Linked DNA regions of Rattus norvegicus. The protein of the gene in region 2 binds, or shares a complex with, the protein of the main gene of each other region. Links are inferred from orthologs where the notes say so. Each region holds a gene or a part of one and is shown on either strand. Other genes may lie near its edges.

What was found.
Region 1: the proteins of Sec31a (region 2) and Pdcd6 are in contact, whole or in part, in a crystal structure (PDB 3WXA), measured with the Homo sapiens proteins. The link is inferred for Rattus norvegicus from reciprocal best matches to the Homo sapiens genes SEC31A and PDCD6. Residues at the interface, in NP_001070675.1 of Homo sapiens: Asn837, Pro838, Pro839, Pro840, Pro841, Gly842, Phe843, Ile844, Met845; in NP_037364.1 of Homo sapiens: Val31, Val35, Leu48, Ala51, Leu52, Ser53, Asn54, Gly55, Thr56, Trp57, Phe85, Trp89, Ile92, Gln96, Phe99, Phe148.

Annotation. Positions count from the first base shown.
Region 1 is NC_086019.1:30,793,678-30,798,068, reverse strand, and holds the start of Pdcd6 (programmed cell death protein 6), read right to left. Parts: upstream 2,965-4,391; 5' UTR 2,843-2,964; coding exon 2,742-2,842; intron 2,115-2,741; coding exon 2,053-2,114; intron 1-2,052. UniProt on the Homo sapiens protein: Calcium sensor that plays a key role in processes such as endoplasmic reticulum (ER)-Golgi vesicular transport, endosomal biogenesis or membrane repair.
Region 2 is NC_086032.1:9,532,164-9,535,977, forward strand, and holds part of Sec31a (protein transport protein Sec31A), read left to right. Parts: intron 1-34; coding exon 35-130; intron 131-1,736; coding exon 1,737-1,877; intron 1,878-2,831; coding exon 2,832-2,974; intron 2,975-3,814. UniProt on the Homo sapiens protein: Component of the coat protein complex II (COPII) which promotes the formation of transport vesicles from the endoplasmic reticulum (ER).

The DNA.
Region 1 (4,391 bases), on a different chromosome or scaffold from region 2:
TGTTTCACCTTGTCCCCCAGCTGTAGGTCACCAACCATGTGAGCCAAACCACTCGACACCCATAGTTGTGCTTCCGTGCCTCTTCAGTGGAAGCCGTACCTCTTATCCCGTGAGTACGGCTGCTCCTGCCTTCGAGGCAGAGTTTTCTTTTTCCCTGATAACTCCTGTCAAAGCCTACCTACCTAATATTGTAATAACACAGTAGCTAATGTATAGATTACCATTATACCATTAGGTGACAGAAAACCACCAAGATTTAGAGCGGTCTCTTGACAACAGCATCTTGTAGTCCCCACAGGTTAAATAATAAAAACCCTGTCAATTCCAGCCACTTTTGCCTAAGGCAAAGGTCACTCTGAAAACACAAAGGAACCAAGAATGTCTAGCCTAAGTGGATGGCAGAAGTGGCAAAAGCTTTCCTTTAACTTTGATGCCCAGGCTATGAGGCACTACCTCGCATCTCACCTGCTTCCTCCCTTTATCCAATCACATTGCAAGAAAATGCTCCCCATTAGAACAAAAATGAGCCTTTTAAAATTCCCATCACGTCTTCCAAGTAATCCCTTTCCAAGTTTATACAGCACACCTGAGGGAAAATAACCCCCAGATATAGTAATTAGAAAAGCAAGCTACGCCTAAAGAATTACAGATGACATCTAATAAGAAAAACGTGTCGAGAGCTGTGGATGAACTCAGTGGGCAGGGCGTTTGTCCACTGTGCACGGAGTTCTGGGTTCTACCCTCAGTTCAGAATAAACGAGCACCAACTCAGGAGTTAGGGGCAGGAGGATCAGCAGTTTAAGGGTCATCCTTGGCTACATAGAAGTTCAAGACCAGTCTAGGACTCTGAGTTGGTCAAAAACAAAGAAAGGAGGGGGCGGAATGGGAGGCTGGAGAGAACCCAGCACACGTGTGGCTGCTGCACAGGACCCAGGTCTGATTCTCAGCAACTACATGGTGGCTCGCAACCATTTATAACTCCAGTTCCAGGGGATCAGATGCCCACTTCTACCCTCCACAGGCAGCAGGCATACTCTTGGTGTGCTCACACACACACAGGCTAGTCAAACATTCATACAAATAAAATACATAAATCTCAAAATTAAAGAAAAATGTTTAAAGAAAAAAACTGTCTCCGATGGTACCATGAAAGATTAATGATGCTGACACCAGCAAGGACATGACTCCATGGAGAGCTCCAAACGAAGGCCACAATCCTCTCATTTCTGCTGGGACAGTGTTCCTCACGTTATACAAATACCTCCCCATGCTCCTGCTGCCAGCACTTCCCCTATCTCTAGTTCCCAAAATGGCCCCAGAGTTGTAATGTTTGTTTATATATATAAGACTATATATTATAGTCATTCTTAATTTATAAAAAATATATAATAAAATATATAATCTTTATAATAAAAATAATCTTATTATGTTCATTGGTGTGAGGGTGTCACATCCTCTAGAACTAAGTTACACACAGTTGTGAGCATCCATGTGGTTGCTGGAGATTGAACCCAGGTCCTCTGGAAGAACAGCCAGTGCTCTTGACCTCTGAGCCATCTCTCCAGCCTCCCCTCCCCCCACCGTACCCTCCTCCTCCTTTTTAAGTCTAAGCAGTCTTACAGCAAATGTGTTTCCACAAGAGTACCTAAGGACCATCTTGAAGCCTTTCAAAACACTAAACAATTACTTCTAAATTGTCACCTGACTATTTGTCAGTGTCCCTGATGATCCTCTTCAGAGCAGTTGCTAAGACTGATAGTAGGTCAAAGGCCTTCTAGATAAGCAAGGGACCTCTGTTGCACAGAGCTAACCTTAACTCTCCCGCAAGGCCTACACTGTAGCTCCCATTTCTCAGAAAGCAGTTTCTGAGGCTCATATACATTTGTTCTGGAGCTTGGCGAGGCAACAATAATGGTACTCAAGAAAATACGGTCACAGTAGCTTCAAACACCTTTACTTATGGTGGTAACGGCAGTTTAGTCTTAAGGACTTCCTTGGAAATAACTCTAGGAAGGAAATGGCTTACTGAGAATGGATCAGGCTTCAACTCACCATTGGATAATGCTTGCTGAAGTTCATTGTCTGAAATCACTCCGCTCCTGTCTTTATCAACCCTACCAAAAAAAAAAAAAAAAAAAAAAACAAGACCAGGTGAGTTGGTGATTAAAAATAAAGGAAAAGTAAAACAGCCGAAAACGTTTCTCTTAGCTCAGCTGGAATGTAACACACCCTCCTCAGGTGTGCCAAGCATTAAGGAACAACGAGAAGCAGTATGAGGGGTTGAATCATCTTTTCTCTATTCCCTCTCAAGCCTTTAGGTTCTTCAAATCTGCTTAATTTACACCACCACCAGTTCATGTTTTTCATAATAGGTAAAGATTCTCTAGGACGAATAAGTCATTCTTTGGCACGAGTCAGCGGAATAACAATCCAGTCATTCAGAAGGACAACCAGGGACAGAAGTCATGCAGTAGCAGTCACCTCTTTTCACTGATGCCGTTTTCCTGACTCAAGATTTGTCCTCTTTCTAACGCAAGCACCCCTGATCCTGTAGGGCGGCTGGTCCGCCCTTCGGCCCTGAGCAAAGTAACTGCCAACACGACCTTGTGCTACTACAGAAGAGAGGAAGCCGGGGATGGAGAGTAAGAAGGACTGGGAGGGAGGTCTTGGGGGTGGGGGGTGGGAAGGACGGGAGGGTAGGTCCTGGAAACGGAAGACTGAACCAAGAGCGCCGGCCTCACCGCTGGAAGACGTTCCACAGGAAGCTCTGGTCTGGCAGTGCAGCTCCAGCAGCAGGGCCAGGGCCAGCACCTGGGCCTGGGCGGTAGGAGTAGGCAGCCATGGGCTGATGCACAGCGGTCCCGCGGCCCAGCTCCAAAAGCTGTGCTTCCGCCTCAAGTCAGGGGCAGAACCAGGAGCCCACAACTTCCTGGGAACAACGGAAGCGCGTGCCTTTGAGTCACTTGGCAGGCGTGGTCAGTTGCCACGCAACGTCTACAGGACCTTGGGGTTAGTCTGAGCTCCGCCTCCTACTCAGCCGGAGGCGCCTTGGGTGTCTCTTGCCTTTTAGCCCTACCCTGCTCCGCCCTCCTACGTGTCGCACCCTGGAGCTTCCGCAGGTGAGCTCAGAAGAGAGCACACCGCGAGGGCCTCGCCCGAGCTTACAAAACGTCTCCACCTGTAATGGAAAGTGGTGAACGCTTTCACTTGGATCGACGGCTTCCCTTTCTGCATTAGTATTTAGTGCGAATGTGATGTGCACCAACCGCATGAAGTTCTCAGCGGAAACTCAAGAGTGACATTTTGTGCACTCTGGAGTTTGTCCATCTGTTTATAGATCACCTTCCCGCCTTCCCACTTGCATATATGCCCAGTCTCCCTAGGTTTGCAGTGACTTCATTTGTAAATGGCCCCAGTGAGATTTGGTCCTGAGGTGAGACCTTTGTGTTCTCTCCACCCCTTAATTGGACTTCTGTATTTTTGGTGGTAACTCTTTTTAATTACAAGCATTCCTTTCTTCATTCGATACTAATTCTTATGGTGCTTTTATGGTTTGGAATGCCCCTGAATGGGAGAATGCACAGCATTGGGGCAAATTCCAACCGGTCACATTCTTGTGCTGCCAGGCCATCCTTCCACCTGGATCTGTATGCTGTGAATAGTTCAAGATACAGGTTACTCCGGTTCTGCCACAGGATCATTCCAGCCTTCATATTCCTCATCCAGGGACGGATTTATCATAAGAACTGCTATGCTCTTTTACGGGGTTTTAGTTTGCTTGCTGAGGGTGAAGAGACCAAGGGCCAAGAATATGGCCTTGTACATCTGAGACTTCCATGAGGACAACCATCCATTATTTAGCACAGATAGGGATCTCTTCAACTCACAACTGTATCGTTTTCTGCTCCATTTTTCTTGTTCTTGCCCATGAGGTATCTACTTGAAAGATTTTCAAATTCTTCAAAGAAATATCTTATAGCTTTGACATTTGCCTCAAAATCTACAAAATTCTTTAAGAAAGGTAGATTTTCTTCCATGGTTTGGTAAATTCATTTTTTAAAATTTTCTCATAAACTGTTCATCTCACTTGTTGAATATAATCTTCTAGGCTTTTCCAGTTCTTTTATTTAGAACCTGAAATCCATTTTTATTCTGTCCCATCTCTGGCTCCTTTTCTCTTTTCCAGAACTACAAAAATATTAATAACTTTCCTACTCGAACGGGAAGTTCTCTAGTACAGAGAAACTTACTTCACAGACCCGAGGCTGCTGCGTTCGGTACTCACTCCATTAGCTGCATGCTGACCTTGGAATGCTATAAAGGCACAGTCCCAGGGAGACCACTTTCTGCAACAGCTTACCAGTAGCTGTCTTTCAGGCACCACCATCTAT
Region 2 (3,814 bases):
GTTATTTGTTATTTGGTCATTGTTTCTCTTGCAGACCAATTTGGTGGCCTCTGGTGCTAATGAATCTGAAATCTACATTTGGGATCTAAACAATTTTGCAACTCCAATGACGCCAGGAGCTAAAACACAGGTATCATGTTAACTGTTGGTCAGTGCAGTCAAGGAACCAAAAAGCTGTTCATTTAAACACATTTATGTTAATTTCCAGTAGCACGGTAAAGTATCGATAAATATGCTTCTGTCTTATCAAGTGGGTGCAGGGAAATCATCCTGGTTTGAAATCAACTTGGAATCCAGCGTGAGGCCTTACGTGACGCTGGGTGGGGGTGCATGCCTTTAGCCTCGGCACTCAGCAGGCGGGGCAGCCAGATCACACCAGCCCAGTCTGCATGGTACGCTCCAAACCATTAGGGCTACATAGTGACGCCCCGCCTCAAAGAATAAAAGCAAAGTGCAGTGTTTCTTCAAAGTATCTGTGAGTCTTAGGGCAGTGAGTCCTCATTCAGGGCCTGCCAACCGCCAGCATTGTGGTACCAGGCCGGAGAACTAGACCGAACAGATAAACAAACGGCCAGCAGCTGTCTCACAGGGACACGATGGTCTCTGAATACTCGCTTTCACCCATACTCAGACCGATCCACTTTTCCTGTGTGCCTCATGTAGGCTGGGTAGGAGCTTCTTCTGCTCTGTTTTTGAATTTCTCATTGTTGTGTGGATCCCAGTTGCACTGGCTGCTCCCCATACCTGCTCCTACCATTTTGAGATCTTGAAAGGTGGCTTCATGACAGTATTCCACTCCTTACGAAGGCATATTTCCTGTAGTCCAGCCTGCCGTTTGTGTCTGCCTATTTGTAGGGCACATTCACCAGCCACTGTGTGGTCTGTGGTCTCTATTGCACTATCATCAAATAAAGAAGCAGCTTGGTTTATAGCAGAAACTCAACAAATGATGTCGGATGAGGCAATAGGAAACAATGTAGTTTTGAAGTCATGTATGTCTCTGTTTAAACAATATGGTAGATGTGGTGAATGTGATAGGAAGGAAATCAGTGGAGTAAATGGGCCTCATTTTTAAGTACTAGAGTTTTCTTTTTTTAATAAAGGATCAGCCAGGCATGGTGGTACAGGCAGTAAACCCCAACAGAGGCTGGCGGCTCTCTGAGTCCCAGGGCAGCCAGAGCTACATAGTGACACCCTCAAAAGAAAAGGAAAATAAAGACAATAAATTAATAATATACAAATAATAAATGAAGAATGAGAATTTATAATTAAGTTTGTTTTTTAATTTTTTTGAGACAGAGCCTTACGATGTCATTCTGGCTGGCCTAGAACTCAAGAGATTGGCTACCTCTGCCTCCAGAATGCTGGGACGACACGTGTATGCACCACATCCCACTTTATAATTAAATTTGAGTCTAGTAATACCCTAGGTACTTTCTGTTGCTGTGATTAAACAACTGGAGGAGGGAAGGGTTTGTGTGCCTTACGTGTCAGGATCCTCGTCTGTCTGTCTGTCTGTCTGTCTGTCTGTGGGAGGTGACGTGCCTTGCCTGCTCGCTTACTCCAGGGGCAGCACCTTTGCATCAGTCAGCAGACCAGAAAGTGTTGTGCAGCCGCACCGTGCCCTCAGACCCCTCTGATGTGCACTGGCAGGCTCCTCCTGCAACTCCAGTCTCTCAGGGTGACACAGTAGCCAGCACAGTAGTGAAGTGGTTTTCGATGTTTCTCCCTAACAGCCACCAGAAGATATCAGCTGCATAGCCTGGAACAGACAGGTCCAGCATATCTTAGCATCAGCCAGTCCCAGTGGCCGGGCAACGGTCTGGGATCTCAGGAAAAACGAGCCTATTATCAAAGTCAGCGACCACAGTAACAGGGTGAGTACAGAATGGACGCGTGACGAAGCACGTAAGATTAAAATCCTGTCTTTATCCATCAGGTAACAGTGGGATGGGGGTCACTCCCTTAGTGAGCATAATTACACACCCAGTGTTTTTCAGCTTTTTAAGCACTTTATTTATTAATTTTGTGTACGTGTGTGTGTGTGTGTGTGTATACACGGGTGCCATGAAGCACATGTCGAGTTGAGAGGACAACTTTTGGGAGTCTGTTTTCCTCTTTTTACCAGGTGGGTCCCAAAAATCAAGCTCAGGGTGTTGGGGACTTAGTGGCAGGCACCTTTACCCAGGGAACCATCTTGCTGGCCTGGTTTTTGTTGTTGTTGAAGTTAAAACTTAAATATTTCTATTGCATTTATCTTATCCCAGCATTTACCATTTTGCTAAAGACAGACACACTTGACTCCTGGGCATGCTGTTCCTAATTAACGACCATGGAGTCGTTAACTTTAACCCTGTTAACGTTAACATTTCTCAGAGGAATGTGAAAATATGTACATTATTATACAAACCAGCTTTGTGCCCATAGCAGCCATCAACACTTTACTTGTGAAAGCCCATGTCCTGTTGGCCCTGTCCAAAGGCCGGGAGCCCTGTCATTTCACCCACTCCAAGGCCATGCCAGACTCCAAACACAGAGGTCTCCTGAGACCATTGAAAAGCACAGATAATTACATCATGATTCATAACAGTGACAAAATTACAGTTATAAAGTAGCAGTGAAAATAATTTTATGCTTGGGGTCACCACAGCGTGAGGAACTGTATTAAAGGGTTGCAGCATTAGGAAGGTTGAGGACCACTGATGTAAAAAGTTCAGAACTAGTCTGAACTGGTCCTTTTTCCCGTTCATTTTGTAATGACACAGTCCTCAGCTTTTATCTCTGCTTCATAAAGTAACATGATGCTGAGATGTGGGCCTTGCTGTCTGCAGATGCACTGCTCTGGGCTGGCATGGCACCCTGATGTCGCTACTCAGATGGTCCTTGCTTCTGAGGATGATCGATTACCAGTGGTCCAGATGTGGGATCTTCGATTTGCTTCCTCTCCCCTCCGGGTTCTGGAAAATCATGCCAGGTACCGTGCTGCTGTTTCAGGGAATTTTGTTTCTTCATATTTTGTTCTAAAACATTTACTCATTTTTATTTTAAGCAGTCGTCATGATTTTCTCTCCAAAGTGGAAGATAGATCTTACCATACTCACATGAATCCATTGTTAACGATTTCCCCCCACTTATTCAAATAATGAAGCAGGACATAGCGATGTGTGACTGTGGCCCCAGCACTTGGCAGGTGGGGGCGGGGAGATCAGGAATTGAGAACCCCTCAGCTCCACAGTGTGAGGGTGGCTACAAGTCACCAGAGTAATCAGTCAAACTGAGTCTGTCAAAACTCAGACAGCTCTTGACATGGACCACGGACCTCAGAAAGTGGGATGCCAGGCAGGAGCAGTGGAGAAACTGGCTTGACTCTGGTTTCAGTTTACTTTAAAAGTGAACATTTTTGAGCCGTTAGTGTTAAGTAGATATTCTGAAAACAGGGCTTTTCTCTTTACTATGTTAAGTAGATATTCTGAAAACAGGGCTTTTCTCAAGTTCTGGTGTCCTTACAGTTCATTAGTTAGGTAAGGTTCTTGTCATTGACACTGAGGTACTAGTAAGTTTATTTAAATTAGCTTAAATAAGAAAATTCCTTTTACTATTGTACTAGTTTCTAAGTCCTTTAGGAGTTTCTGCTTCTCCTGTTTAGTGAAAGGCAGACTGAAGTTCTGTCCTTTCCCCCTCTCCTATGTAGCAACCTGTGAAGGAGAAGGTCTTGAAGTTGGTATCTGTCACTGGCTCATAAAGGAGAAGAATCTGGTCAGAATGTATTCTTTGTTAGATGTTATATTTAGTATAATTTACAGCAAGGAAAGAT